4 linked regions of the Arabidopsis thaliana genome follow. The protein of the gene in region 2 interacts with the protein of the main gene of each other region in a pairwise test. Each region holds a gene or a part of one and is shown on either strand. Other genes may lie near its edges.

Region 1 (8,112 bases), on a different chromosome or scaffold from region 2:
AAAAACTTCTTGATGTATACTTTCTCTTCCTGAAATTGTTGCAGGACCTCCAGGACCATAATTTTTGTTTCTTAAGTTCCCAGAATTCTCATAAGATGTTACAGGCAGGGCAACCATTTCAAGTGAAAACTCTACAAAATCTTTCAAAGCATCAAGGTTTCTCGAACACTCTCGCAGGTAACCCAACACCTCCCAGAGCAAAGTTACCCAACCTTCTTGTCTGTACAAGTTTGCAGCAATATCGAAAAAGAATTTTGCGTTGTTGGGATCAGCCAAATCAAAGTACTCCCGGGCTACTTCAAAGGCACAAAGAGCAGCCATCCTCTGGGCTTTAAGGTTGGTAAATGATTCATAAGATCTCTTCAGCCAAGCAATAATTTGAAGGGAATCCTGAACTCTCTTTGCTTCTGAAATTGTATACCGTGTGTACTCTTCATCCGTTATACTGCAAATACATTAGAATTCATACTATTAGAGATGGTGGTAGCATAATTAGTTTTCTTTTACATAGATTTGTGGGATGAATTATGAACAACTTACGAGTGAAGTGTAATAGCTTCTCCCTTCTCAAGCAACTGAGCGAACTGACCCACATAGACTGAAGGAGTAATAGATGCAGAGCTGCTATCAATCTCTTGAGCTATTTCAGACATTGACAACAACAGTTCCAGGGCAGATTTCTTATCCTTCAAGTAATGAGCAGCCAACTGCGTGTAAAACGAAAATTTCCCAGTGGATAAGAACATATTATATTTTCAACATACTGTACCTAGGAACAGACAGCTCAGAAATTTATGAGAAAGAGGACGAAAAATCCAGCATTTGCTTAGAGGTAGGTGTTTAAGTTTATGTAGTATTGTTTTTAACTAAATGGTAAAAGACACAGAAAAGATTTAACACAAAATGCACCACCAAGTTTAGATATGTTCCGACTATGTGTTACATAGAGCAGAATTGACTGACCTGATAATAATAGGCAGGGTAAAACTCAAACTCAGTCAAAGATATTTCCGCAGTTCCTTGGTTTGAGGATGTTAAGCTCTGACCAGTTGCTGAGCTTGTCTCCAGCAACTCAGCAAAGACAAGAAACTGCCTACTCATCCAGTCCCAATGGAGAAAAATAAATTCTGTGGATCCGACAACCTTTTCATATGATGTTTTATGTTGATGAAACCATGTCACTGCTTCTATGAGTTTTCCACCATGCAACAAAAGCGTTGATATCTTGAAATGCAATTGCTCAGCTATGATTTTGATCTCGACCAAGCGTTGTATTGCAGGCAACCTAGTCGATGTCCCGATCATCTGTTTGCATAAACAAAATTGCTCGTCGAAATTGAATGTGTGGAAACCGCAGGCAAAGATATGTAATAATAAGAAAGCAATGACCATATATGCATCAAAAGGAACTTCTTGACTAGAAGCAGAATACATATTAGCGTGACAGATGGGTTGGGAAAAAACAAAATACTTAGAGATAATAAAGACCTCGTGCAAGGAATGGTATGCGTCTTCATAAAACTTCAGTGCTTCACCCCAATCTCTACGAAACTCTGCATATACAGCGACCTAGCAGTCATGGCATGAATGAGCCTTCCTTTTCCCAGATACTTTGGAACAAAATGATTAGACTTAGCAGAGGTAACGAGAAAAGCTTACTTTAAAACAGTAGCGAACATTCAAATCAAGAGAATTGGAACTCCTTTTCTCAATTCGGCTTTTGATTCTCCGTCCTTCTTCTCTGTAATAAGAAAGTGCCAACTCTGCAAAAGCAGAAGCGAGTCTGCAAACATACCGTGTTGAGATGCATTGAAGGAAAAGCCTCTTGTTCTAGGTGCAAAGTAAAAGAGGAGAGAAACATACCTGGAGAGAGAGAGCGTGAGTTCAGAGACTATGCTGGAATTGAAGAAGAGCACGTACTTAGAATCTAATTCTGCCCGCTTTCGCAATGCCACCAGACGATCGTCGCTAATGTCCTCTAAAAACAAGTCGGGAAGGAGTAAGTCACCAGTAGTTCCGAGAGGAAAATGAAAAGAATAATCGGATAAAATGCGCTACCGTGGGGAGAAGACTGGACCACGACAACCACCAGTTTGATGTTTTTGGGACGGATTACGGATCTAGCAAGCAATTGAGATCGCAGTGTTAATTTGAGGGTTTGAAACAAAGGAGGGGAAACAAGGAAACAAATATAAAGGGAGATGAGGAAATACTTGAGGCTGTCGAGATCGGAGCAGACCTGTAGCCATTGAGTTGGATCGCCGAAGATGTGATGTGAGGGAAAGAAGGCGGCGACAAGTGCAGGGACCTTGGTGCGATGCTTAAGCAACCAGTCCCGTTTCAAAATACCGCCGCATCTGGAAGGAATGGGAGAAGCAGAATCGGAGACGCTGAGAGGATCTCTGAAGGAGGAGGTTCGGCTGATCTGATCATCATGAGCAAGGAGGAGAGAGATTTGAGAGAAGTCGGGGAAGGCCAGAGCGTTGATGGGAGGCTGCTGGGAGTGGAGATACTTAGTAATGGACGCGTGTAGCTCCGCGTATCCGAAGAGAGCCACCAGACTTACCGGTGGCGTCCTGAGCTCTTCCGGGTATTCCTCCATCTCGCCGGGGAGTGTCTGAGACTCGGACGCGTTGAATCGAGCAAGGAAGGATCTGACACATTCATTTTACGTGGGCTTTTAACGGGCCTTTGGATAAGGGAATGGACTTGTATAGCTGTCAGATTGTTCATCTGGCCCAGAATATGATGTGAAATACTTAATGGGTTTTCAACGGGCCTTTAATCTTTAAGGGTATGAACCACTGCAGTTGTCAGATCTGATTTAAACTAATGTGGTTTCTAAGGATGTAGTATCATCAGGCCCATTATAAGCCCACTTCTTAAAGATGCATCGACTCGTCAAAAAAATAAAATAATACAAAGAATTCGAATTGGTTGCATATACAGAAACATTGGATTTTACAAAATGGAAGAAAGAATTATTGGAAGAGAATGAGAAGCTGTCAAGCGGAGGAGCGGTTGATGAAGTCAATGCAGTCTGCAATTGCATCGGCGTAGAAAGAGTTAGAGCGACGTATAGATGTGTAATCAAGACCGTCTTCTCTGACCAGCGGAGGCCTTCTGCAGCACCAGCTCCTGAGAAGCCTGAAAAAGCTTCTCACTCTCGCACGCAGTCTCTTTGTCTTCTGCCTCAGCCTAATTCCTCTTCCACTCGGCCATCGTATCCTTGCTCTTTCCATCTTTCAACTCTGTTGCATATGCGTCAGATTGTTGAGTTTTCATGTATATGCAAATTATCTATATATCGAGAGGCGAGGGCTTTCATGTCTGACTTTTAGAAGTGGTTGTTGAGAATTTTTGAAGACTTTTTTAATGATTGATCTGGTGCCCACGTGTCATTTTATGCTAGAGGGAGGTGTTGGTTAGTTGGAAAACTAGCTTCCTAACAAAAAAAACACATGTCTAACGTACTCGATAAAAACATATAATCTTCTCATTCATCAAGCATGTTGCAAGAGGGCTTTGAAATTGAGTTTGAAAAGCAAAGTTCCATTTGCTCTATTAACAAAATAAAGCCCATTATTAAAACCAACAGATTACTATAAGGCCCAATATCAACTTCCTAAACTAAGCGGGTGAAGATTTTGTTAGCCATTAGTGGTAATTTCTGATCCCATTGCTGCTCCTCTCTCCGGAGATACAAAGGCGAATCTGACCAGTAAGAAAGATGGCAGTCGAGATGGCCTCTCAGTCTCAGGTCTCTTTCTTGCGTCTTTAATCCGAATCTACGACGATCAATTCTTCGCTCTCTGAATTAATAATATGATCACAGGTTTTGGTGGAAGAGAAATCGAGTGTTAGAATCTTGACACTAAACAGACCAAAGCAGCTGAATGCTCTGTCCTTCCACATGGTATCGAATATTTCCCTTCTTGTACATGCGTACTGTATTGGCTTAGACTCATTTTTTTCTGTAGATCTCTCGATTGCTGCAACTGTTCCTTGCATTTGAGGAGGACCCTAGTGTGAAACTTGTCATCCTAAAGGTAATCATTATCCTTATCTCTTCCGCTTACACACATTTAGTACTGAATAACTTTGCCACAGGGTCATGGGAGAGCCTTTTGTGCTGGTGGCGATGTTGCAGCTGTTGTTCGTGACATCAATCAAGGTTTACCACCCATTCTTTTCTGTTTCTTACTTTCAGCTTTTATACACTCTTTCTCTATCTTCGTTCGTTGACTAGGTAACTGGAGACTCGGTGCCAATTACTTCTCATCTGAATACATGCTCAACTATGTTATGGCCACATATAGCAAAGCTCAGGTCTCGCTATAATTTCGTTTTGTTTTTGTAAAATCACTCCCGAGTGGATAAACTCATCAATTCGTATAGGTTTCAATCTTGAATGGTATCGTCATGGGAGGCGGAGCTGGTGTATCCGTCCATGGTCGATTTCGTATTGCAACTGAGAACACGGTAATCTTTCCTTAAACATGTCCATGGATGACAAATAGGTCGCTCCAAAATATGCTCATATCTTTCGACTTTCTCCAAGGTTTTTGCCATGCCTGAGACAGCTCTGGGGCTCTTTCCAGATGTAGGCGCCTCCTACTTCTTGTCAAGGCTCCCTGGTTTTTTTGGTAACAGAAGCTATATTTCCTTTTTTTGCATCTTCTTAAAGCCACCAAAGTTTGAAAATGCTTTCTTGTCTTTTTTGTTCAGGGGAGTATGTTGGCCTCACAGGAGCTAGATTAGATGGTGCTGAAATGCTTGCTTGTGGCCTTGCAACTCATTTTGTGCCTTCAACGGTATGAACTTCCTTTGCGTGCGTCTATTTCGTAAGACATTCTGAATTGACTTTACACATCAGATATTGTATAGCTACTAGTGTCAAGCACTATCTGCTTCACCAAGGATTGCTACTTAGTTAGGTTTACTCCTTTCCACAGAGGTTGACTGCATTAGAAGCAGATCTTTGCAGAATTAATTCAAATGATCCAACTTTTGCCTCAACAATTCTCGATGCATACACCCAGCATCCGCGCCTGAAACAGCAGAGTGCTTACCGCAGGCAAGTCTATATGATTTTTATCTCTTTTACTCTTTCTACTAGTATGGTTTTACCTGATTACATTTTCTCGGTTATTGACCATGATTATAACACATTTTTTCTATAATTTCAATTTCGTATTGCTGTCAGGTTTTCAATCGCTCTTTACAGAACTCATTTCTCATCTGATCTTTAATTGAAAATTTATAAAAGTGCAGAGGACAGTTATTTTTTATCTCCCCGTTTGTTGCGCAGGTTAGATGTTATTGATAGGTGTTTCTCAAGGAGAACAGTCGAAGAAATTATATCTGCACTTGTAAGCTTTTCATTTATATATAGAGATGTTGACTTGCGATCCTGAGTTGACTGATTTACCTTTGACAACGCACTCTACCATCATATGTGTTGCTTAGGAGAGAGAGGCCACTCAAGAAGCAGATGGTTGGATCTCAGCTACCATTCAAGCATTGAAGAAGGGTTCACCAGCAAGCCTTAAAATCTCTCTTAGATCGGTTAGTTCCCAGAATGTGCATCACAGGCAATGTTGACAAAGAGCTGACTGTGAGTATATATTTCAGATAAGGGAAGGGCGATTGCAGGGGGTGGGGCAGTGTCTTATCCGCGAGTATAGAATGGTGTGTCATGTGATGAAGGGAGAAATCAGCAAAGATTTTGTGGAGGTTTTGCAAGCTTTTTCCATCTGAAACCGTCTTTGTTGTAGACCGTAGTTACAACAGCGTGTCTTTACTTATGCAGGGGTGCAGAGCCATATTGGTAGACAAAGATAAGAACCCAAAGGTTTAACAAGTCTCTCCATTTGTTATTTGTGGTTGGTAATATGTGACATTGTTGATAACAATATCTGAAATTATAGTGGGAGCCAAGGCGACTGGAGGACATGAAGGATAGCATGGTGGAGCAGTACTTCGAGAGAGTGGAACGGGAGGATGATCTAAAGCTTCCGCCAAGGAATAACTTGCCTGCTTTAGGGATCGCAAAGCTGTGAAGTGGAGAAGGTGATGGAGCACTATTGTTTACGTCTGTGGGAAAGAAAAAAGAAAATAAATGTAACAACACTTGTGTTGAATAGGACTTGCATACATTACATAAATCATTATTGTATTTGAGAATTGACACCAAAGCAGCAGAGCAGAATTGTGTTAAGATTTGTTAATGGTGTTGGAGGCACAACCATGGCAAACGGACGTGGAAGCACGTCTATAGTCATTGTTCATTTATTTGATTGAGATTCCTCCTTGGTCTCATCTTCTGAAAACGAAAAATAATTAGAAAATCAGGTGAATCGTGAAGTATTGAATGAGAAGAGGCAATTAAAAATCTCCCGTGACTCTCGTCTCCCCATCTCTCTCTCTCCCTCTGCCCAAATTTCTGGGGCAAATTTGTTCATCAGATCTACTACAATCTCTCTTTTTCTTCGGGTATGGAGGGCCAACGAGGCAGTAATTCTTCGTTGAGCTCTGGCAATGGCACCGAAGTCGCCACCGACGTTTCTTCTTGCTTCTATGTTCCCAATCCCTCTGGAACCGATTTCGATGCCGAGTCGTCTTCTCTTCCTCCTCTGTAAGTCTTCTTTGAATTTTTAAAAACATTCACTCTCTTGCTGCTGTCTCTGTTGATCCTTCTTCTTTGAAAATTTGAAAACATTCTTAGTCTCTCGCTCTGTCACAGCTCCCCAGCTCCTCAAGTGGCATTGTCAATTCCTGCGGAGCTTGCCGCCGCCATTCCCCTCATCGATCGCTTCCAGGTTGAAGCTTTTCTGCGGCTAATGCAGAAACAAATCCAGTCTGCTGGGAAGCGTGGCTTCTTCTATTCCAAAAAGTCCTCTGGCTCCAATGTCCGCGAGCGCTTCACATTTGAGGATATGCTTTGCTTTCAAAAGGTTTTTCTTTCCCCCCCTTTCTTCCCCATTGACAATCCATTGACTGAATATGTCTCTCTCCCCTTCCTTCCTTCAGGATCCAATCCCCACATCTCTCCTCAAGATTAACAGCGATCTCGTCAGCCGTGCTACCAAGTTGTTTCATCTCATCTTAAAATATATGGGTGTTGATTCATCTGATCGATCTACGCCTCCCAGTTTAGATGAACGCATTGACCTCGTTGGAAAGCTCTTCAAAAAAACTTTGAAGCGTGTTGAACTCAGGGACGAACTTTTTGCCCAAATCTCCAAACAGACTAGACATAATCCTGACAGGCAATACTTGATCAAAGCTTGGGAATTGATGTACTTATGTGCCTCCTCTATGCCTCCTAGCAAAGATATCGGTGGATATCTATCTGAGTATATTCATAATGTCGCACACGATGCAACTATTGAACCGGATGCTCAGGTTCTTGCTGTTAACACTTTGAAAGCTTTAAAGCGCTCTATCAAAGCTGGTCCTAGGCACACCACACCTGGTCGTGAAGAAATTGAAGCCCTTTTGACCGGTAGAAAGCTCACAACCATTGTCTTCTTTCTCGATGAAACTTTTGAAGAAATTTCATATGACATGGCTACCACAGTGTCTGATGCTGTTGAGGTATCTTCTTGCTTTCTTTTTTCATAATTTACCGCTGATCATATTCTTGTCCCTTTTTCTCTCACTGCATTGACATCTGTTTCAGGAGCTAGCTGGAACAATTAAACTATCAGCTTTCTCTAGCTTTAGTTTGTTTGAATGTCGTAAAGTTGTTTCAAGTTCTAAATCATCTGATCCCGGAAATGGTATGCTTTCATATGACTGGCTTCGTCATATATTGTGAAGTAATACAACATTATCGATCATTTTTCTATCTGTGCACTTGCAGAGGAATATATAGGATTGGATGATAACAAGTATATTGGAGATCTCCTCGCAGAATTTAAAGCTATTAAAGATCGAAATAAAGGAGAGATACTACACTGCAAACTGGTATTTAAAAAAAAATTATTCCGAGAGTCTGATGAAGCTGTAACAGATCTGATGTTTGTGCAACTTTCGTATGTTCAAGTGAGCATTTTCTTCATTGGTGACATTTATTTCCACACAAAAGGCTTGCCTTTCGTTGCTGAC
Region 2 (7,536 bases):
AAAATTCGTTTGCCTTTTTCATTTCTAGTCACATGCTTGCTTTACACGCGATTAGAAACGAAGAAACAAATAAAATCAAAGGCTTAAATTATCATATGATAAGATATATATTAGATTACTATAGCAATTTGTTAAGCAAGCATGAATCATGTCATAAAGTAGATTGTACCTGAACAGAAGTCATGTCTCTTTGGAAATAATCAAGTGTAGTCCAAGACTCAATCTTAGTACAAGTCTTGGAACTCAAGATACAGCTTCTAATGGAGTTCCAATACTCAGGATCCCTAACTCTCTCTCTCAACCATGGATGATAGTCTCCAAGCCTATACTCTTTATAAATCCTCCCTGGCACTTCCACTCCACCTCCTTGGCTCGTCACCACCAGACCAAATAGCGTTAGACCCATTAGGGTAGCGATGAGGAAGATCATGACCACTAAGTACACCCAAAGAGCCCATGCCACGTTGAAGCAGGCTCCTATGAATCCCGCAAGGGAAACTATGAGTATGATGAATCCTATAACAAGTAGCGGCGTCTGGAGGAAGTTTTCACATGTCGTGCTGCTTCTTGCCTTGTATAAAGCGGTTCCGATGATTGGAATCGAGGCTAGTAAGGTGAGAAGGTTTAAGACCCCAATAACTGTGTTGCTGAATCTGTACATAGTAGTAATGTTATCAAGAAGAAATCAGAGACTTAACACTGCCTTCTTTCTTTTGTAAGCAGATTCTCTTCTTGCAATGTGAATTTCATCAGCTTTATCTTACAATCTTCTTTTTCTAGATATAATATTGGTTAACTCTACTTTTGGCTTTTGATTCTCTCTTATCAATTGGGAATTTTTTAAGGGGAAAGGTTAAGAGTTAATGGTTTGATGATTCATGATCATATTCTTTTGGTCCTCTCTCTCTTGAGTTGAATCAATTAAACAATAACATTAAAACCGTATAATTTTCAAATAAAAGTGTCTTTTTGAACAATTGTTTCTTGTTTATTATTCTATATTATACGTTTTTGTCGTTGGAGTTGGTACAGAGCAGACCACAACCAAGAGAAATCAAGTAGTGCCTTCATTAAAATATGTTCTTAAGACATTACACCATAAAGAATACAACTTTTTCTAGCTTTTAGTCCAAAAACTGCAATCATGGTTTATATAATGGATGATCACAAGTGGAATAAAATAAATGTGCTATGTTCAATGAAGCATAGGAGTAAGCAAAGAATAATATATAGACATGGACGGGAGATGATTTCGTAATCGATGAATTTTCTTTCTAAGATGCTTTTAGTGGCCCATTCCTCGGAATATTAGGTTTTTAAGATATAGCTTGATGTGATCTCCGATTCCCCCACTTCCTTTTTTATCGTATAAATAAACGAGAAGGAATGCTAAAATCTTGTCTCAGCTCATATTGAATTTTTGTGTGTTTACTTTCACATTTAGCAAATGATATATGTTTTAATTCGCCAATCATTATGAGCCAAAATATCCACAAGCTTGAAGATACAAAGGTTTGTGGTCTTTGTGTGGTTGAAAATTCACATAAATGAAAAACAAACAAAACAATATCACAAAGTCACAACTTGAAAATTCACAATATTTATATTCCTAAAGAACCATGATCTCTAGTATACATCCAAAAATCTTCAAATCAGCATTTAAAAACAAAGAAGAGGCAGATGCAGCTTAGGTGTAATCAGTTTGCAGGGTCAAGTCTTGTACACCCAAATCATGGTATACATCATATACATATTGCAGTAATGGTCTTTCATCTATTCCGCTCTTCACCTAACGCCGATAAACAAAATAACAAACCCAGTCATTTCCATTTCTAGTGTGAGCTCATGTTTTAACCGATATAAAAAAAAGGAGAAAAGTGAGTACCTGGAGTCTGAGTGAGCCAACAGTGTGACCAGGCACAACCTCCCAGAAACGTGCCTGTAAAACCTCCGTTACATCTTCTCGAGAAGTAATCTGTACAGAGAGAGAGAGCTGAAGAGAAGCCTGGTTTGATCAACAATGGGAAATATGTACACATTCGAGGAACGATTTATGAGCGAACCTGTCGCAAGCATTTGCTTAAAGCAGAAGAAGGAATGTTTGGGGGTGCCATCTGAAGCAAGACACCACCAGTGGCTTTGAAGAGTGGCATAACAAGCATAAACACTGTGACCGATACCAATCCTAAACATAGGACCTCTGCATTTTCAACCCTGAAAAAGCCAAGGCATAAGGAGCAAAAGGAAAATGTAGTCAAGCAAGAAGACACTTTTATTCATTTAGCTCCTTCAAAGAAAGCGAGTATTACCCGAGCGAGAGGAGCCAAGATGCCAGTATCAAACCTGCACTGAAAAGACAGCAGCAAAGAAAACTTCATGTTGACTGTATATAAGTTTGATGCAAAAGGAAGCATTTTCTTTTCTATATAGCTTTCTCCGATTCTGCTTGAAATTTATAAAGGCAGAGAGGATTAACACCTGCGGATGGAATCTGATATGACGTGCAAGCAAACGGAGTGATAATTCATATCTTCTGCTTTTCTGTAGGCTGCAGCATATTGCATATTATGAATATAAGAAAAAAATTCAAGATAACATGTGGTTTTTAGATATGTAAAGAAGGGACAGATAATTTCAAGAAGCAACGAATAGTCGTTTGACAGATCAGTTACAATTATGCTGACTCTCTCTTTCAACTAATCTTCGTACTGATTCTATCTTAACCAAACACCCTTACTTCTTTGGCTTTAAAGCGAAAACTGACAAGGGTGGCCAATTTCTACAAATGAATACCAAAGCCACCAACAAAGGCTATATCAAAATATAAAGCAGCGTATGAGCATCAATTCATACAAGTCTAAACAGAACTTAAAATGCAGAGAAAAACATACCAATATTGACACGAGCATAATTCCGGAAAAACCAAACACCTAGTAGGTTCACCAGCAGATTTGTTACCGCTGATACAATCAAATAATGCCTACATAAAGGAAATCTCAGTAAATCACACTACTGAAAGGAACAAGAGGGAACAAGTACTGTAAACTTAGTAAGTGCTAGAGATATATATAGAAACTCCTAGGCATGTCATTTGTGAAAATATCAACTTACTTATGCTCTGATTCATCTTGTATAAATGCATGAAGAGCTTCCACAGCTAAGGAGAATGACATGAACATAAGGAACAGCTGTCTACACATATGTCAAATATTAAACAAATCAAAGTATTAACCAAAAAGATAAACTACAGAGACAATGAAAGGCAAAACGAAAAGATAGATTGTATGGAAGTCCAAATCTTTTTAACGAGCTGTAAAATACTCTATTCTATCAGCAACAGTAAAGGAAAGAGTTTTAACACTGAGTCAAGCCATCTACACTAAAGCTGGAAATGACATCCAAAACACGTTAAGAACATACTTACAGCATTAGTGAAAGCAGATAAAACTTCAAGTCTTTTGTACCTGGGAACCCAAAAAAAAGAGAAGACAAGGATGCCTAAATTACAACCACTTGAGCATAATCACATTACAGTCTCGGGAGAAAAATAGATCATAAAATGGATTAACCAACTGAGCCAATCAAATTACTTGTAACTCACCCGTATGAGTAAGCATGATCAGGCTTCTTCCTTGAAGTTGCCATTGCAAATAAAGAAAATGTCAAGAGACCACAACCAAATGTCAAATGGAATGCATCAGAGACCAAACCTGTAAGAGTCCACAAAACAATTCAAAGAAAGAATATCAACAATTCAGAGATTCAATCCTAAAACAAAAAGAGAACTGAAACCAAATCGTACCTACACGACCAGTGAAGATACCAATAGAGAGCTCTGTTGTAGAATACAACACATTAAGCGCAATTAGCAGAAACAGTCTCTTCATCTGCCGATTTCCACTTGTCACTACTCCAAAAACCTCCCAAACCATTTCCAAAACAGACACTTTTGCCATGTCTACATCTTTCCCTTCCCCGAAAAACACATCACTTCCATCAACGGAGTAAATATCCGGCGGCATATCGATGCTCGAGACCGTCCTATCGAGAAAAGGCTTAGCCGCTTCCGTGACCGCCGGCGTTCGTGGACCGTGAGATTGCTGAAACGAGCGAGAATAAGCAAGCCTCCGATCATTAGCAGCATATCCGACATCGCTGCTCCGATCATCAGGGAGCTCGTTATCGCCTCGAGGATTAAAGGAAATGGATCTCTCCATTTTCTTCTTTGATCTTAAAGTTCCAACTTCGGCAAATACTAAAATCAACAGTCAGTCGTACAAAGAAACTCTGCTTATACAGTAAAGTCAATGGGCCACTGTTCTAAGCCCATATATAATTTTAGAAGCCCATAGAATACAAAAGAGTCAAGAAGCATTGACCGCACAAGAAAAAAACAATTGTTAAAAAGGGTTGGTTAGTGTGTATGTATATATGAAATGCAACAAACATTATACAGCCCATTAAATATGGTTGTTATAGGTAGATGTCCCCATTAAGGAACTTTATCCAGCCCATTAAATTACTTTACAGAGTAAAAGAGAGAGAGAAGATTTACAGTTACGTTACCAAATTTTCGAAATGATTTAATTAGTAATAAATAAATAATTAAATGTCAGTTACTCTCTTTAGAAAGCTAAATAAGACAGCTGTTTCCACCAACAACGTGACTGGTCGTGGGGTCCTCCTTCGTTCAAAGTGATATTCAGAAATCAACGGCTGAGATCTTCTCCATCAATATTTATTACGGGCCTATTCCTTCCTTTTTTAAACTTCAATTCTCCGGCTCACATTCTCTTCTTCATTCGCTCCGTTTCTCTCTCAAAAACTACACACCCGTACCACACCACCACCCTCCTCGTTTCCTCAGAGATCCCCTCTCTAACTTCTAAGGTAATCACATTTCCATAACGTTCCATCGTCATTGATTCTTCATTAGTATGCGTTTATGAAGCTTTTTCAATTTAATTCTCTTTGGTAGATCTTAAGATTCCTCTGTTTCTTGCAAAATAAAGGGTTCAATTATGCTAATATTTTTTATATCAATTTTGACAGGATATAGAAAATGGCAGATGGTGAAGACATTCAGCCTCTCGTCTGTGACAATGGAACCGGAATGGTTAAGGTACATCTTTACATGACCTTTGTGGATATAAATCTGATAACTTTTTCTTTTATTATTTTTGGATACAATGCTGTTTTGTCTGGTTCATTCATATGTGTTTCCAATTCCTTAGGCTGGATTTGCTGGAGATGATGCACCAAGAGCTGTATTCCCTAGCATCGTTGGTCGTCCTCGACACACTGGTGTCATGGTTGGTATGGGACAAAAAGATGCTTACGTTGGTGATGAGGCTCAGTCTAAGAGAGGTATTTTGACATTGAAATATCCTATTGAGCATGGTATTGTTAGCAACTGGGATGATATGGAGAAGATTTGGCATCACACTTTCTACAATGAGCTCCGTGTTGCACCTGAAGAACACCCTGTTCTTCTCACTGAGGCTCCTCTCAACCCCAAGGCCAATCGTGAGAAAATGACTCAGATTATGTTTGAAACTTTCAACACTCCTGCCATGTATGTCGCTATCCAAGCTGTTCTTTCCCTCTACGCTAGTGGTCGTACTACTGGTAATAAGATCTTCAACACCTACACCATTTTTTTAATCACTACTACCCATTGCATTGAACAAACTTCCAAGTTCTTCTTAGCTTCAGATTAAGAAAGTACCCTTTCTTGGCTTTGTTGATGTGGTACCATTGTCCATTGTCTTGTGTGTTTCCAGGTATTGTGTTGGACTCTGGAGATGGTGTGAGTCACACTGTTCCAATTTATGAAGGATATGCTCTTCCACATGCTATTCTGCGTTTGGACCTTGCAGGCCGTGACCTTACTGATTACCTCATGAAGATCTTAACCGAGCGTGGTTACTCATTCACTACCTCAGCAGAGCGTGAAATCGTAAGGGATGTGAAAGAGAAACTTGCTTACATAGCACTTGACTACGAGCAAGAGATGGAAACAGCAAACACAAGCTCATCCGTTGAGAAGAGCTATGAGTTGCCTGATGGACAGGTGATCACCATTGGAGGAGAGAGATTCCGCTGCCCGGAGGTTCTGTTCCAACCGTCTTTGGTGGGAATGGAAGCTGCTGGTATTCACGAGACCACTTACAATTCCATCATGAAGTGTGATGTGGATATCAGGAAGGATCTGTATGGAAACATTGTGCTCAGTGGTGGAACCACCATGTTCCCTGGAATTGCTGATAGGATGAGCAAAGAGATCACTGCTTTGGCTCCAAGCAGCATGAAGATTAAGGTGGTTGCTCCACCAGAGAGGAAGTACAGTGTCTGGATTGGAGGCTCCATTCTAGCATCACTCAGTACCTTCCAACAGGTAAAATCATCATTCGGTTTTATATGGAATTTTGTGTCCTTTTTTTTTGTTGCCCATTGTTAATGTGATACACAAAATGTTGTTGGTGTGCAGATGTGGATAGCAAAGGCCGAGTATGATGAGTCAGGGCCATCAATAGTCCACAGGAAGTGCTTCTAAGATTAAGCTCAAATCAAAGTGATGAATGATTGTTCTGTATTGGTAAAGCCTTTTGTTCATCGACTTTGTTGCAAAATATTCTTTTGTTTTCTATGTTTCTTCACCACTACATTACATTTCTTTCTTGTTGTTATCCTCTTTTGGTGTTTCTGCTATTAATCGAAAAAGAAATTTTCTTTTCTTAGTTTCTTTTTTCTCCTCTTCTTAATTCTGTGAAGATAAAAAAGAAGGATGAAACCAGTGGCCAGTGGGCATTGGATTTGGCTTTTTATTTTAGGCAAAAGACAGGAGTTCTTTACAAAAAGCTAATTCTAAAAAAGAGGAATCTAAAGCCGAACCACATGATTGGAGTTATAGAAAGAATAGTGACCTGCCAACAAAAACAGTACGATTAACTCGGCATTTTTAATTCATCGACATGGTCAACATGGTCAACATTGTCACGCTTCACTTCATTATCACAGTATGGAATACAGCGCCAGTAATCATAATAATATTTTTTTTAAACAATGTGCTCAGTTTGATAACTACTCTGACGAAGCATCAAACGAACAGACAAAAAACATTGGAACCCCCGAAACTATGATCCAAATTCCAAAACCTAAAACTTAGAGAGAGCAATTGTTAAAAGAGTTTTGTCCCTCTTATACACTTGGCAGGTCTTAAACAAGAAGTTGACTCAAGTCAAGATTCACTACGAGCACGTAACTATTAAAAGTTTAAGAAATGCCAATAGGGAGATAGTTTTAGTACAAGAGTTTTACTGTCCGAAGGTCACATTTCTACGATCCCAACAAAACAGCGATGAGAAGAACAATACCGACACAAAACATTTGAACACTAACTTCCCACATAACATAATGAGCAGCCAAAATGTCATAACACAACAAAATGGACAATAAGATTATTAAAACGAAGCATAGCTTCTTTAACAAAAGACAAACAGACAAGAGAAAGGTCGACAATTTCTTCACCATCAT
Region 3 (6,785 bases), on a different chromosome or scaffold from region 2:
ATCAAAATATCCCAAAATGAAGACTAAGGAAGGGTCCAGGTCTAAGGAAAAATAGAGCCCGTACACAAGATTTGACCAAGAGAACTATTTTAACTTTAAATAAATATATATATATATATATATCCATAAAAAGCATTAATCAGATTCCATTTTGATTGATATATATGATAAAATATGTAAACTTACAATGGCAAAACAAAAGTACAAACGAGGACAAGAACCGTACCTTCAAACTTTTGTTTCACCTAACAATCTCACTCTAATCTAATCCATCTAAGTCTTCAAAGTACTAGATTGTGGATTCATGATCTGGATAAAGACTTCTTACGCCTACAAATTCGTGTTTATACTTGAAACAATAAAAAATTACAATAGCAAAATTACTCGAAACTCGGGAGCTACCAAGCAAATCTTGTCCCCGTGCCATCGAGAAATCTATCAGTATACCATCCTTTAGCTTGCACTTGAGATAAAAATGGATTGAAGACATCGTTCATTTTGTCATACGCGTCTTGCAATATAATGTCATCAGGGTCATTATATATCTTTGTCATTGACTTGACATATGCTGCAACTAACCACCCTCGCAATGCATCTTCACCGGTTGCATCGTGCTCTAAGACCATATCGGTCCATGACTTTCCATGACTCAATAGAAACTTCTCTTCTACAAACACTTGTTTTAGTCTTTGTACCTCAGAAGGCTTCACAGCTTTATGGAGAGCCCTTCCCACTTTTACATTTCCTGCGTCTTGGATTGGTCTCTCGGGGAACATTAGGTCTTCTTGGAATCTTAAATCAGGAGGGCTTGGGACTTTACCAGTCTGAGAAGATACAACAACACCTCTTATGTAATTAAAAGAAATCAACAAGATGGTTTACAGAAAAATTGAACAAAAGATGATGCTAATTACCTTGAGAAAATTAGCCACAATCAAAGCGGTTCGCTGTGGATTCAGTGTGTTGATTGGTACCCCTCGCATTTGTTCTACAACGCTATACACATGTACAACCGAAAGAATTGACCCAACCACCAACTGCAGATATCAGCCTTTTCATAATAGAGTTGCAATCCAAACAAATAGAAACTGCATTTTGAAATAGAGAGTAACGATGTAGCAGAATGACATTACCTTTCCCTCCATTGATGAACATATTGTGGACGCAAGTTGAATACCAGCACCTATCCCGGCAACATTGAAAAGAGTAGAGATAGCTTCTCCTTTTGCAAAAATGTCACTAAGATTTCCTTCTTTGGCAAAAGATGAATATATTGGTAATCTTGTTGCCCTTGCTGCAACTGTAGCCATTCCCTATTTAAAACAAACAATGCCAGAAAAGTATGAAAAACAGGAAACCAGTGAAGCTGATTGATGTATAAAAGGATGGTCTTTAGAAAGCTAATATATCTCATAGGTCTCCTATTGAAGCTGCTGAGGAAAGCAGGCACAGATGTTCTAAGAAAGATATCTATACCTTAGCAAAATTCCCCAGACCAGCCATTTCAAGAAACAGATGCGGGCATAATGGAGAAACGAGTTCCAGACCAGTACCAAGATCGTAAAGCACGTCAGCTGAAAATTATGAATCAATACTTTTTATAGTTAACGCTATAAAGACATCAGCAGAAACATGTAGCTACAGAATGGTGCATACCCAGAATCCTCCACCGTTTAGGCTCAGAGTCCATTCTTGCACCCAAATTGCTACATATTAGCTTTCCGACATGTTGCATCCCATCCTTCAATATCTACAGAACCAATAGAGTAAACAAAACTTTCACTTACGGACAGGGACTGAACAAGCAAACGAACAAACAAACTGAAGTGGTTTAACATACCCAGCTAACAACAGTTGCTTGTGCCGGTGTAGGCCGCAAGCCTGCAGCAAACAACAGTGACTGCAAAGGAATGATACAAAAAAAAGTTATGTGTCCATGTGAAAACCTCCATTACAACAGCTCAAGTAAACAAATGCAATTTTCCCAAAATCAATAATCAAAGCTGAATCATGAAGAAGACCTGAGTCGATAACACTGATAATGCTGCACTAGAGAAATGCTGAAGTGCTCGAAACTGTGTGTACCTAAGATATCCTTCGTTGACACTATAGAGAAGAAGTAAAGAAAGAAACTTGGTTAAAACACATGCTTTAAGGCTAAAGCCTAGAGACTCTCTAAAAACAAAAGTTCCAAACTTTGAGTTCACCTGTATGGATAACCAGAAGGAAAGAACTTGTTAAGGAAAGATTCAACCATCTTCTGAGGAACAGGTCTTGCATCATCAACAACTTTCATCTAAAACGTGATAATTCACATAATGATTCTACAAGTTGAGAGCAATGGCATAAGAGAGACAAGAACGAGGGAGAGGGAGATTTACAGAGAGGTGGCCGTCGGATTGGAACTGATAACGGTGAGAGACAGAATCAGAGGTTTCGAACCAGTAAACCGGAAAGTCTTCAGGGCTCTTCAACATTACTGGGTCTTCCTTCTTTATCAACTTCACCTTCTCCTGCTTCGTTCCCCAAGTTACAAAGTCATTCACTATAGTTTGGAGAATCATAAAATGAGATTAAAAATACAATAGAATAAAGATTGTGAAATCCTACAAGAAACTGCATCTCTGAGACACGATGGCACAGTCAGGTTCCGAACGTTAAGAGTCGCCGGAGTTGGAGTGAACCACCACAACAGTAATCGCCTAGAGCCGTCTAAAAACAAAATCAAAGAGATTATCTTAACAACGACGTCGTTTCTTCGTTCCTTTTCTACTTCTGAGGCCCAAATGATTTTTGTTACTATTCACTAATGGGCTTAATTAAGGCCCAATATTGATAGATACGCGGCGACTAGTTAAGGGGCAACAAATATGGCCCACTTAAAAAGAAACACGACTTTTCTTATCGCGTTGTTCTAACGCCACCGACCGAACACTTCTTTTTCTTCTGCAATAAACCAAAAAAAGTTAAAAATTCAAAAACTTAATTACTAAGCAAAAGTGTGCACGAAGAACAAAGCGACGCATCCGATTTTATTTGTTTGATAAGTTCGTGTCGTCTTCGTCTCTCTAACCCAATTCTGTGGTGTCTGAAGAAAGCAGAATCAAATCCATGTCTTTCAGAGGACTTAGCAGGGTAAAATTACAAAAAAAAACTTTTCTCTTCTTGCTTAAAATCGATGTACTCTTGTCTATGTCGCAAGCATCTTCAATGTTAAAAATTTGATTTTTATGAAGTCGATGTTAAAAAAAACTAAACCCATCTCCATTTTTACTCTTATTGAGGGTTTAAGATCACTAGATGAAGTCAATTCGATGAATTTTGGATTAAAAATCGAATCTTTTGGTATGGTTTTGATATGTGTTTTGGTTTTATATCTGTAGCCAAATGCAATATCTGGAATGGGTGTTGCAGATGAGAGCAAAACCACATTTCTAGAGCTTCAAAGGAAAAAAACTCATCGCTATGTGGTCTTCAAGATTGATGAATCCAAAAAAGAAGTTGTTGTTGAGAAAACTGGAAATCCTACAGAGAGCTACGATGATTTCTTAGCTTCACTTCCTGATAATGACTGCAGATACGCTGTTTATGACTTTGATTTCGTTACTTCTGAGAATTGTCAAAAGAGCAAAATCTTCTTCTTTGCTTGGTTAGTTTGATTTTTACCATTAGTAAGTCTATAAGGGTTTTGATGTGTTGAGACTAAAACATTTTGATTTGGGACTACTGATGTTGTAGGTCTCCTTCGACCTCTGGAATTCGAGCCAAGGTGCTTTACTCGACTTCTAAAGACCAGTTAAGTAGGGAGCTTCAAGGGATTCACTATGAGATTCAAGCTACTGATCCTACTGAGGTTGATCTTGAAGTGTTACGCGAACGAGCGAACTGAGAGCAAGCAAGATTGCTATGTCTATTCAAAACTTATGGTAATGTAATGAATAATTCGTATTCTCTGTGGATTGATTTGTGTAAACACAGTTTCATGTTCTATGTCAAACTGTATAACCTCTGGTGTTTCAGATTGCACAACCTAAAGCTTAGGTAAACTGAATATGGTTTAAGATCGTAAAAGGTTGATATATTAGTAATGTTAAGAGGGAGAAGAAACTTCTCTTTAGTAGATAACGAGAATGTTGATGAGCATGATGAGAGAGTTCTTAAACTAGTCTAGCAAATTCTGTATAAGCTCTTGTTGTAGCCATCTTGAATTCGAGTCTAATCCTTGCGAACAATATAGAAAGTGGTAGTGTGTAAAGTTTCCCTCATCATTTGTGGTTTCTTTTTCTCACTTTCTTCGGTGTAGTAAAATTTAAGTTGTATGTATAATAGTTCTATCATATACCTGCTTTCTAAAACAAAACAAAAAAAACCTCTTTCTTGTTTCCGCATATCCCCTTCCGATTCCATTGAGAGCAAAACCATTTTATGAGGTTGTATACTTAACCTACCATTCCTAATTCCTAATTGCTTAACTGTTACCAAACTGTGATGTCAAAAAGAAAAATGTTACCAAACTGGAGTCAAAATGACATAAATACCCTTGACCATTTGAGAAAAAATGTAAGGAATTAGGAGGTTGCAAGTGGGGTCCATTGCCGTTGTGGCCAAAAGCGAGATTGCATGACCCAACTGAAATCTCAATTAGGAAGGAGATTGCATTATTTTTATATGTTTATTTATCATATCTCATATTAAGGTCCATTTCCTTCAGTCTATTATCATCATGTATCCACTATTTGTTTGACATTGGGGAACATTTTAGAATAAGAAGTGGAACTGGAAAGTAAAATATATCTATTAGTTCCAACATATTTCATTAGTTTTAATTTTTCTTGCTCCAAACTCTAGTAGTTTATAAATACACGGCTTGAATTACGTTTAAAAGAAAATAACTAAACTTTCTAATAATTCTCCAAATATTAGAACATGTCTTAGTAAAGAATTAAAGCTTTGTTTGTGTCAGAAATTAAAGGTTGGAACCATTTTGTTCTCATTCATAAAAGGGAGAAGAAAAAAAAGAAAAGAAAAATTGTTTCCTCTGTCTTGAAGTATTTAGTAGAGAGCTGTCCAAAACAATACAAACACGTCCAAAAAACCCTCTCCTATGGGAACAAGAAAGACCCAAAAGACACAAACACACACCCAAACTCCATCAAACAGAAATAAAGCAAACCAAAAAAGCTTCTCTCTTTTTTCCTACATTTGATTTAAGCTCTAAATGTTGAAATGATCTTTGATTTGACATTGTGAAGCTGAAATATAGCTGGTGGTAACCTTCAAAGACGACAAAGAAGGAAAAAGATCATCATCTTCTAACTTTTGGTAATTAGATAATTTCATTCTCTAAACAAAGTCTGATTTTTGAATCAATACTAAAAAAGTGATAGAAGAGAAGCTATCAAAACACAAAAACAGAGGATTTTTCTTTTCCAATCTAAAAGAAAGGTGCTTAAGGGAATTAGTTTGAGATTAGGTTTTAACTGAGTTTATACAAACTTTCTTTATTTAATGAAATTAACTTAGATTGGCTTTTGTCTTAAAGATTAATTATGGTTGTGAAAATTAGTTTTGGTTGCAGAAAAAAATCAGTTGAAAATGTATGAGGAAAGTTCATGTTTTGATCCTAATTCGATGGTGGACAACAACGGCGGCTTCTGTGCGGCGGAAACAACTTTTACGGTAAGCCACCAGTTTCAACCACCGCTTGGAAGCACAACAAACAGCTTTGATGACGATCTTAAGCTCCCAACAATGGATGAGTTCTCTGTTTTCCCTTCTGTTATCTCTCTCCCAAACTCAGAAACTCAGAACCAAAACATCAGCAACAACAACCATTTGATCAACCAAATGATTCAAGAATCGAATTGGGGTGTTTCTGAAGACAACTCTAATTTCTTCATGAACACTTCACATCCAAACACAACAACAACTCCAATCCCTGATCTTCTCAGCCTCTTGCATTTGCCTAGATGCTCTATGTCATTACCAAGCTCTGATATAATGGCGGGTTCTTGCTTCACGTATGACCCGCTCTTTCACTTAAACCTTCCTCCACAACCTCCATTGATCCCTTCTAATGACTACTCAGGGTACTTGCTTGGTATTGATACCAATACTACTACTCAAAGAGATGAGTCTAATGTTGGAGATGAAAATAACAATGCTCAGTTTGATAGCGGAATCATCGAGTTTAGCAAAGAGATTAGGCGTAAAGGAAGAGGGAAGCGAAAGAACAAACCTTTTACTACAGAACGTGAGCGAAGATGTCACTTGAATGAGCGGTACGAGGCCTTGAAATTGCTCATTCCTAGCCCGAGTAAGGTTAGTTATTTACTTATGACAACAATCTTTCTTGGTTTAGCTTCATTCATTATCTCCAATGGCACTTTGCTTAATTCATATTATATGTTATTTAGGGAGATAGAGCATCAATTCTTCAAGATGGAATCGATTACATCAACGAGTTACGCAGAAGAGTAAGTGAGCTTAAGTATTTGGTAGAGAGGAAGAGATGTGGTGGGAGACACAAGAACAATGAAGTAGACGACAACAATAACAACAAAAACTTGGATGATCATGGTAATGAAGATGATGATGATGATGATGAAAACATGGAGAAGAAGCCGGAGAGCGATGTAATAGACCAATGTTCAAGCAACAACTCGCTGAGATGTTCATGGCTGCAGAGGAAATCAAAAGTAACAGAAGTTGATGTTAGGATTGTTGATGATGAAGTAACAATCAAAGTTGTTCAGAAGAAGAAGATCAATTGTTTGTTACTTGTC
Region 4 (7,745 bases), on a different chromosome or scaffold from region 2:
ACCTCTAGGAGGCATATGCTGTGGAGGATAGCCACCGAAACCGGGAGAATTGTAATATGAACCTTGAGATGAATATGGTCCACGAGGGTGGTAATCATAGGGATGGGGAGCATGAGGACCTCGTGAACCCCATTGAGGTGGACCGCCTGGCCCTTGGGGACGGTAGGCAGGCTGATTATAGCCACCGGAATAGGATGATGGCCTTGCATTCTACAAAAAAACACAACAATGAAACTTCCCATCAGAGACAATAGAGATCAAACATTTCAAACAGTAAATATTATCAGAGAACATGATTCTATTAGGACAAAGAAGATGAAATCCATGGCACAGCATAAATAATAGATATTACTAAAAAGTGAGCAAAGAACAAAGCAAGACAGCATGAACAAAATGGATCTCATCACAGCAGTCAGGTGCACATGACATTCAAAAGCAAGTGCCACACGTTTAAGACTCCTATATGCAGTGACAGCTCTAATCTTACAAATAACATGCCAAACTATTTCAAGTGAACAGATTTCTTTTTGCCTCAGCTTGGCACCATAGAATAATTGAAACCGCAGTGATGCTTGGAAAAAAATAAAATTAGATCTTCATGTAATATTATAGCCATTTTCCCATTACACTCTCCCCTAGCCATTCCATGTAAGTTCAGGCATATCTTATGCAATTTTGTTACACTAGGTTGCAAATCGAGTTACAGAACTCCCCCAATCTCAATGGTAAACATTAGGTGTGCATCTTCAATGATGATAATTTAGGAAGAGTAAACGTCTCAGAAAATGAAGTTCTGCCTGCTAGATTTACACTAAAGTAATGGTCCTGGAGTTGGTAAGTCTCAAACCTGCAAGCCTGAATAACATTGCCAGATACCTTCTTCTGTATACATCAATCTACTGAACACCAACGAGGCAACGCTGACCCCATGTGAACGGTAATAGCGAATTCTGCATTTTTAAAGCCAGCACCAATTCGAGATCGGCACCTTCAACATTAAAAAAAATCATGGCAACCGACATCGAGGATGAAACATATATTGTTCTTAGCAAGTTTAAATGAGCACATGAGTTTTTTCAAGTTAGTGTTCTTATGGCAGCAGTAGATCAACTAATCCTTACGGGGGGGTGTTCACAGAACATGCAGCTATTTAATGACCCCAGGAGAAGGTATGTTGAGAATACATTTTCCATATATATTAGACGATGGAGAGTAATAAGGATTTCATAGCTTAGCATTATTCGCAGGAGAGTAACATAAATCTAAGAAGGAAGCACTATCTTAAACAGCACAACATGAGTACATTATTCAGGTAACACTTAACAGACCTAGCTAGTTGTACTGCCAGTTATGGAACATAGCAATACGAACAAAAAGTGCCTACAAACACTAAAACAGATGATGGGAAACTTTATGCAAACACACATATATATTACCTCAAACAAAATTTATGCATAGTAAAATTGAAGACAGTATCAACCACCAGCATAACATCCCAACCAAAGACGAAATGAAACATATGTCGCATTCAGGCACATGATAGCAACAAACCAAACTCAAGAAAGAATGGGAGCATGCATCGTTGAGAGTATAGTATTAGAAACAAACCTGGTTCATAACATCTTTTATCATGTCAGTTGCTATATCAATCTGCATCTTATCTCCAGATATACGGACAGTCCTCTCCTTCAATCCATCACCTTCTGCATGTTGTGGTATTAACTACACAACAAATTTTAAAATCAGTTGTCACATAGAATGAGACAAGGTAAACACGTTTCCTAAAATTTAAATACTTTCAGTCAGTTTCTATTTTTAACATCATACACAAGTAACCACCTGAGTACGTGCTCCTGACCTTGTCTGCATATTCTTGATTGTCTCGCCACCTCGGCCAATAATCAGACCAACCTGTCAGTTGAAGCTGAATTAGATATGATTAAATTGTTGCTGGAAAGAATAAACTAGGGAATACCTTATCATTTGGAACTTTAATCTCTATCTGTTCTGGGATCCCTATCGCATGAGTGGAAGGATGGCCCCTAGCAACTAGGGCAGGTGAACCTCCTGCTTCAGCCTAATGTAGTACGAGAAGAAATTCTTGTAACCAAATATCTTACAGATACAAAGATGCCAAAACTACTGAAAAAAACAACTGTTAACCTCTGCTATGACTGCACTGATAAGCTTCTCAGCACTTTCAATGCATGCAACACTTCCAATTATCTCCACTGGTCTTAACGCTGAGCTCGGATCAGCTTCTGAATCCCTCAAAATTTGGATTTTGGCACCAGAGTTAAACTGAAGATACCGTATAGTCTCCCCACCTTTACCAATCAACACACCTACCTGCAAAGCATTGTGATAAGCACGTCAGTGAAAGTATTCCGAAAGAAAAAAACTCACAGAACAGCCAAAAATGAAAACCAAATCATATCACCTTTGAACTTGGGACATCTATCCTACGAGTTGTCGACTGTGTGCCATCAACCTCCTTCTGAGATTTTTCACCATCCACTTCCTTATTTTCTTCTTTACCATTCTCTTGAGAACTACCATCATTCACTTCCTTACTATCGTCATCAATCACCTTCTGATGTTCACCACCATTGACATCCTCAATACAACCTTGTTGGTTATCCTCAGGCTTAACCTGATCATCTGTTGGCTGATCTACACTACAAATCTTATTTTCAGACTCATCAGCATGAATAGGATCCTGAACTTCCTCAACAAGTGGTACAGAATCTTGATTCTCTTCCTTAGGTTCCTGAAGCTGTTCTTCCTCTTTTACCTCCATTGAAGACCCATTTTCTTGTGTATTCCCATAATCTACAACAAAGGCCGAAGAACAACAATGAGAAAGACTGATTTATCAACAAACTCAAAGAAATCTCTTTTTTTGAAAACTATAACCATAGAACATCATAAAAATCAAAACTTTAGTTTATAAGAAGCCAAAGAGACAGAAACACCTAAACCATCTTGAGCTTCATCTTCTAGCTTCGCTCGTTTAGCCTGAGAAGAATCAGATGTTTGATTGCTATCATCCACGATATTTCCATTAAGCTCAACTTCGTCGAGCTTTCGCTTGAGATCGACAGGCGGCGTAGAGATAACAACAAAATCTTCCTCCGTCATCTGGAAACGAATCGTCCGGCGAGGAATTTAGGGAAAGCTGAGTACTGTAGGGTTTGGGGAAGAAGAGAATTATCTCCGGCAGTGAAAAGAGTTTGGGTTGCGACTCTGAACGGTGGTGGAGAAGTAACGTTTAAGGCTTTAACGTCTATTTATAATGTTCGGGCTTTTATTGGGCCTAAAAATGGGCTACCAGTTTTTTTTTTAAAGTTATCAAAAATAATGATGTTTTCTTTGTTGATCGTCGAGGGGATGTTGTTGAGACGATAGCTTCTACTCAAATTTTGTAGAATCGACAACATAGTAGAAATTTGTAGGGTCTTTATTTCCATTGTAGTGGTTTTATCGACTTTGGACTATGTCCTCCTCTCTATAATAGTTTACAAGCTTGAAACCCCAATGAAATCCATAACAAAACCCACATATAGCTTATGAAATTCTTAAGATCAAACATAGAAAAAGGCTTACCAACTGGGATTTTCAGTCTCTGAACATACATAAATCGCTACGGTAATCACTCTGCAGTGTATCCCACGGTTGGGACACGACTCACATACGCGATTTCATAAGATGGTAAACTACTACTTATGCATAGGTACGACATAAACACATGTATTTGTATTCTTACGGTACATAAAGTGATGGACATTGTATGATTGATTCTCCACTGTGTCTAGGTATTGTAGAAAACGGCTTCTCATCTAAGGCTCAAAACCGGCCATGCGCCAGGCGATGGTAGAGCAGGGCGGATCACAGGGACCCTTCTTACCTCTGTGAACACTTCATTGAGTCGAGCAGCCTGACTCATCACCCGCGACGCCTTCTGCACAGATCATAAACAACCCAAGACGTGATAATGATAGAAGTAAACCAACACCAAACAAATACCAACCAAGCAAAGAGATGTGCGCTAAGGGAAAATATCAAATCACAGCATTTTCAGCGGATGATGCCTCAGTATTTTTGTACTTAATTCAGACAGATTACAAGAACATATTAACTACAAAATCTATATCTTAGAGGGGGGTATTGGACATAAATTCTAGATTTTCAGGTATAATAAAAGAATTTCGAATCTTTCTTCTCAATTCAAATAAATATTTTGCAGTATTTTTAATAGAATTCTACTAGAATTAAGAAGATAAATTACTGAAATCTTTTGTTCCACAATGCTCTTTATCGGGACAGCCACCATGCCCAATCTCTAAAAACTGTACTTTTTCCTTCACAAACCTCTTAACCCAGAAACAATCTACGTTGACGTTTACATGAAATGGAAGAGATCCATATTTTGACAACAACGACAACGACGTCATCACAACCTCCGCTCATCTGCTCTCTATAGATTAACGCACTCTCCTCATATATAATCGAACGAATGATGATCCGAAGAATAAACCGGATCGAAATCACAGATTCTAATAAATGTGTTAAACACTCTCCCTCAGATTTGAGAATTTTTTTTGTATGGTTGAAGCAAATCGATGAAAGAGAAAAAAAGGATGGATGTGTTATATTCTATCCAAATCTCAACTCAAAAACTCAGAATTTGTTCTTCACATTTTAGACCAATTTTTCTATTAAATTCTTGTGAAGTAACGTTGTCAAACAAAACTACCGAAAACTGAATAACACTTGCAACTAATAGAATTAAGAAATGAGCAAGTTAAATAACACAAGAATTTAAAAGAATTTGTGAAATGTCTAATTGAATAACACTAGAATTTAAGATTCTATTGAAGTCTATCAAATTCATGCGTCCAATACCCCCACCTTAATATAAGGCAGGACAAGACAAGAACTAAACTAAACTTGAAATTCTACGGCTCAAGTCAGACCAATTGCATCAACACAACATAGAGTGTAGCTAACTCCTAAAACGTATCAATCTAGACCAGCTTACCAACTTCAAGCAAAATGAAAACACAAGGGTCAATGATAATATAGTGTACCTTATCGTCAATCGTAACTTTAAGATGGAACCTTTGAGCTTTCTTCTTCATATTATACAATCTACGTCCCAAGAGAACCAAACCCATCACAGCAGCAGCCATAGAGACAGACCAAACCGGACCAATCCTAAACACAGAGTACTTAAGAAGCACAAATGGCATCTTCCACCACACAGTCTCTCTACTTTTACCCTCACCACCAGAACTCACGCCTCCAACTTCCACAGTATCTCCTCCACTTCCCTCAATTACTTCACTAGAAGCAACTACACTATCAGAAACAACTTCTTTTTCACCATTCACAACCCCAGAATCTCGAGAAACCAATTCATTTCCCCCTAAATCAGAACACAACTTGCTCGAATCCTCAATAGGTTCTTCAACACCCGATTCGTTCTCACCGTGCCTTCCATCAACGAATTCTTCGAGATTCTCTGTTTCATAGTGAGATACGGTTCCACCAGTTAATTCAGTAGCAGCTTCGCTCTCAACATATTTCTCATTGGCAGCTTCAAAATCACTAAGCCTAACCTCACCATCACCCAAAATTCCAGTTTCTGAATCATAAACCCCAAATTCATTTCTGACACAATCATCACCCGATTGACTAACACTGAACTGATCCAAACCAGAATCAACACTAACCTCACCCGGATTCAGACACTCCGACCCGTAATCAACCCGAAAAGAATCAAAATAACCCGATTCAATCACCCGATCAGTAGCAGAGAAATGATCAGAAAGAATCATACCGTCATCGATTACGCTTGAACTCTCTAATTTCGTCTCCGATGTGATTGAATCAGTTGATTCTGTATCAGAGCCATGATGAAGAAGCTCCCAATCATCCATGATGATCGAATTCGAAGATTTCAGATTGGGATTGCAATAATCAGAAACCCTAATGGATAAAACCCCAAATATTGGAAAAGGATCGCAACAAATTAGAGCGGTTGATGATGGAAAAGAATGGTTCTTATCCACTTTGAGAAAGTAATTACGTGGAGGTATCTAATTGGTTGCGTGTCAATCTCAGTCCTCAACTAAATTTTTTGGCATTAAAGTTTAGTAGATTCAGAGAACTATAGTATTTATTCATTTTGTTCTTTCATTTTTATTTTATTTTTTAAAACGATTTAATTAGGATTCGGCAATAAATCGTATGGTGCGGATCAAATGAATTAAACAAATATGTATCGGTTAAAATAGAGTAGACGATGTAAGAAAAATATATATAATCAAGATTCAAACGGTTGAGGTGGGTTTTGCAAATAAATCCATCGGTAGATTGAAATATTTTCTTATTTATTATTTATAGATTAGTATTTATAATAGTACTGACCAAAAATATAGAAAAAAAAAATCGGTAAAAACTTTAGACCGATTTTATATAGAAATAAATTTAGTTTATAACGGATTATTGTCCGCTCCAAAATTAAATGGTTTAGTCTCTAATAGTTTAGTTTGTTTCGAAAAGAATGGTTCTTATCCACTTTGAGGAAGTAGTTATGTAGAGGTATCTAATTGGTCACGTAACATTCTCAGTACTCAACTAGATCTTTTGACATTAAAGGTTGGTAGATTGAGAGAAGTATGGTATTTATTCCTTTTGTTCTTTCATTTTTTTGGTTTTTCACAATGATTTAATTAGGGTTCACGACGAATCGTATGGTGCAGATCAAATGAATTAATCAAATACTAGATGATTTACCCGAACTATGTACAGGGAGAAATAGTTATATGAAATATATAAACAAGTTTTTGGAAACAGATTTTATATTATCACTTGATATATAAGTGTGAATATTTGAATATGATTTAGTAACTGATATATTTTGGAGATTTTATTAGTTAGGAATTAGGATATTCTATATTTGGAATAAGATTTTAAATTAAAATATTGACCCAAAAGAAAATCTGAAATATCATTCCTATAATTCAGAAATATATTCGAATATTTTTTGTATTTTATAAGATTTTATTTTGGAAACAATTCAATATAAAAACTGAAAAGAGTATGAATAATTATGTTTTAAACGTAATAAATTTTTGATTATCTTTTATTATTCTTCATAATTCTATGTAGTTAGGATTGATTTATTGCATATCCCTTATTTTATTAATCAATTTATATTGTTACGATAAGGTTTTGGGTTGTAAATAAATTTTAACTAAAATGAGTAAATGACTAATTAAATTGAATAAACTGTGTAAAAGTTTTAATAAATTGATAAGGTAAAAATTTGAAAAGAAATAATATTGAAAGTAATCAGTAAGCGGATACATTTTTAACATAGATTAATATTGAAATATTGTTCATAGTGAATGTGTAATAAATGAAATGTTACTAACTAATTTATGTAAAACTATGTTCCGAATATATTCAAGAATCATATGGGCTCACATATACATTTAGATTTTTTGCAATTTATAACAAAAAAATAGAATGTCATATATGTTAAAATTCTAAATGTTTTCTATAAAACCTAAAAAAATAAAGTACGAAACATATAATAAACATTTATATTATATGTTGTTCATCATAATTTATGATATATACTTTTTACTTGTTTGCTCAAATATATATGGTTTTTTGATTAATTTTCTTTATTAATTGCTACTCTCTTAAATGTAGAGGAAAAATATGCATAAGTA

Evidence for each region.
Region 1: the proteins of ACT11 (region 2) and CHY1 interact in a two-hybrid assay, tested with the Arabidopsis thaliana proteins (one large-scale study listed by BioGRID).
Region 3: the proteins of ACT11 (region 2) and ADF6 interact in a two-hybrid assay, tested with the Arabidopsis thaliana proteins (one large-scale study listed by BioGRID).
Region 4: the proteins of ACT11 (region 2) and AT4G10080 interact in a protein complementation assay, tested with the Arabidopsis thaliana proteins (one large-scale study listed by BioGRID).

What each region holds. Positions count from the first base shown.
Region 1 is NC_003076.8:26,374,780-26,382,891, reverse strand, and holds CHY1 (beta-hydroxyisobutyryl-CoA hydrolase 1), read left to right. Parts: upstream 1-3,210; 5' UTR 3,211-3,223; exon of another isoform or gene 3,224-3,274; intron 3,275-3,644; 5' UTR 3,645-3,730; coding exon 3,731-3,760; intron 3,761-3,835; coding exon 3,836-3,916; intron 3,917-3,980; coding exon 3,981-4,049; intron 4,050-4,110; coding exon 4,111-4,174; intron 4,175-4,249; coding exon 4,250-4,329; intron 4,330-4,398; coding exon 4,399-4,482; intron 4,483-4,561; coding exon 4,562-4,646; intron 4,647-4,728; coding exon 4,729-4,814; intron 4,815-4,955; coding exon 4,956-5,077; intron 5,078-5,311; coding exon 5,312-5,372; intron 5,373-5,469; coding exon 5,470-5,568; intron 5,569-5,634; coding exon 5,635-5,736; coding exon of another isoform or gene 5,737-5,760; exon of another isoform or gene 5,761-5,812; coding exon 5,813-5,854; intron 5,855-5,930; coding exon 5,931-6,062; 3' UTR 6,063-6,282; downstream 6,283-8,112. Other genes in the region: AT5G65950 (trafficking protein particle complex subunit-like protein), read right to left, coding at 1-445, 541-707, 964-1,305, 1,489-1,569, 1,660-1,783, 1,864-1,978, 2,059-2,120, 2,214-2,602; ZWI (kinesin-like calmodulin-binding protein (ZWICHEL)), read left to right, coding at 6,498-6,637, 6,728-6,956, 7,033-7,599, 7,685-7,784, 7,868-8,049. UniProt on the Arabidopsis thaliana protein: Involved in valine catabolism. May be indirectly involved in benzoic acid biosynthesis and in cold signaling and cold tolerance.
Region 2 is NC_003074.8:3,853,054-3,860,589, forward strand, and holds ACT11 (actin-11), read left to right. Parts: upstream 1-4,726; 5' UTR 4,727-4,890; intron 4,891-5,052; 5' UTR 5,053-5,062; coding exon 5,063-5,122; intron 5,123-5,234; coding exon 5,235-5,628; intron 5,629-5,783; coding exon 5,784-6,397; intron 6,398-6,490; coding exon 6,491-6,556; 3' UTR 6,557-7,036; downstream 7,037-7,536. Other genes in the region: TET6 (tetraspanin6), read right to left, coding at 170-661; AT3G12100 (Cation efflux family protein), read right to left, coding at 1,688-1,789, 1,886-1,975, 2,064-2,214, 2,310-2,348, 2,479-2,548, 2,892-2,980, 3,112-3,188, 3,425-3,464 and 2 more. UniProt on the Arabidopsis thaliana protein: Actins are highly conserved proteins that are involved in various types of cell motility and are ubiquitously expressed in all eukaryotic cells.
Region 3 is NC_003071.7:13,291,060-13,297,844, forward strand, and holds ADF6 (actin depolymerizing factor 6), read left to right. Parts: upstream 1-2,893; 5' UTR 2,894-3,111; coding exon 3,112-3,135; intron 3,136-3,383; coding exon 3,384-3,649; intron 3,650-3,738; coding exon 3,739-3,889; 3' UTR 3,890-4,351; downstream 4,352-6,785. Other genes in the region: RUS2 (root UVB sensitive protein (Protein of unknown function, DUF647)), read right to left, coding at 399-824, 915-1,037, 1,134-1,313, 1,477-1,574, 1,657-1,750, 1,841-1,900, 2,022-2,106, 2,208-2,296 and 2 more; AT2G31210 (basic helix-loop-helix (bHLH) DNA-binding superfamily protein), read left to right, coding at 5,596-6,321, 6,417-6,785. UniProt on the Arabidopsis thaliana protein: Actin-depolymerizing protein. Severs actin filaments (F-actin) and binds to actin monomers.
Region 4 is NC_003075.7:6,296,619-6,304,363, forward strand, and holds AT4G10080 (uncharacterized protein), read right to left. Parts: upstream 6,127-7,745; 5' UTR 5,943-6,126; coding exon 5,091-5,942; intron 3,962-5,090; coding exon 3,836-3,961; 3' UTR 3,401-3,835; downstream 1-3,400. Other genes in the region: AT4G10070 (KH domain-containing protein), read right to left, coding at 1-210, 1,609-1,722, 1,840-1,911, 1,976-2,077, 2,164-2,349, 2,441-2,832, 2,976-3,141.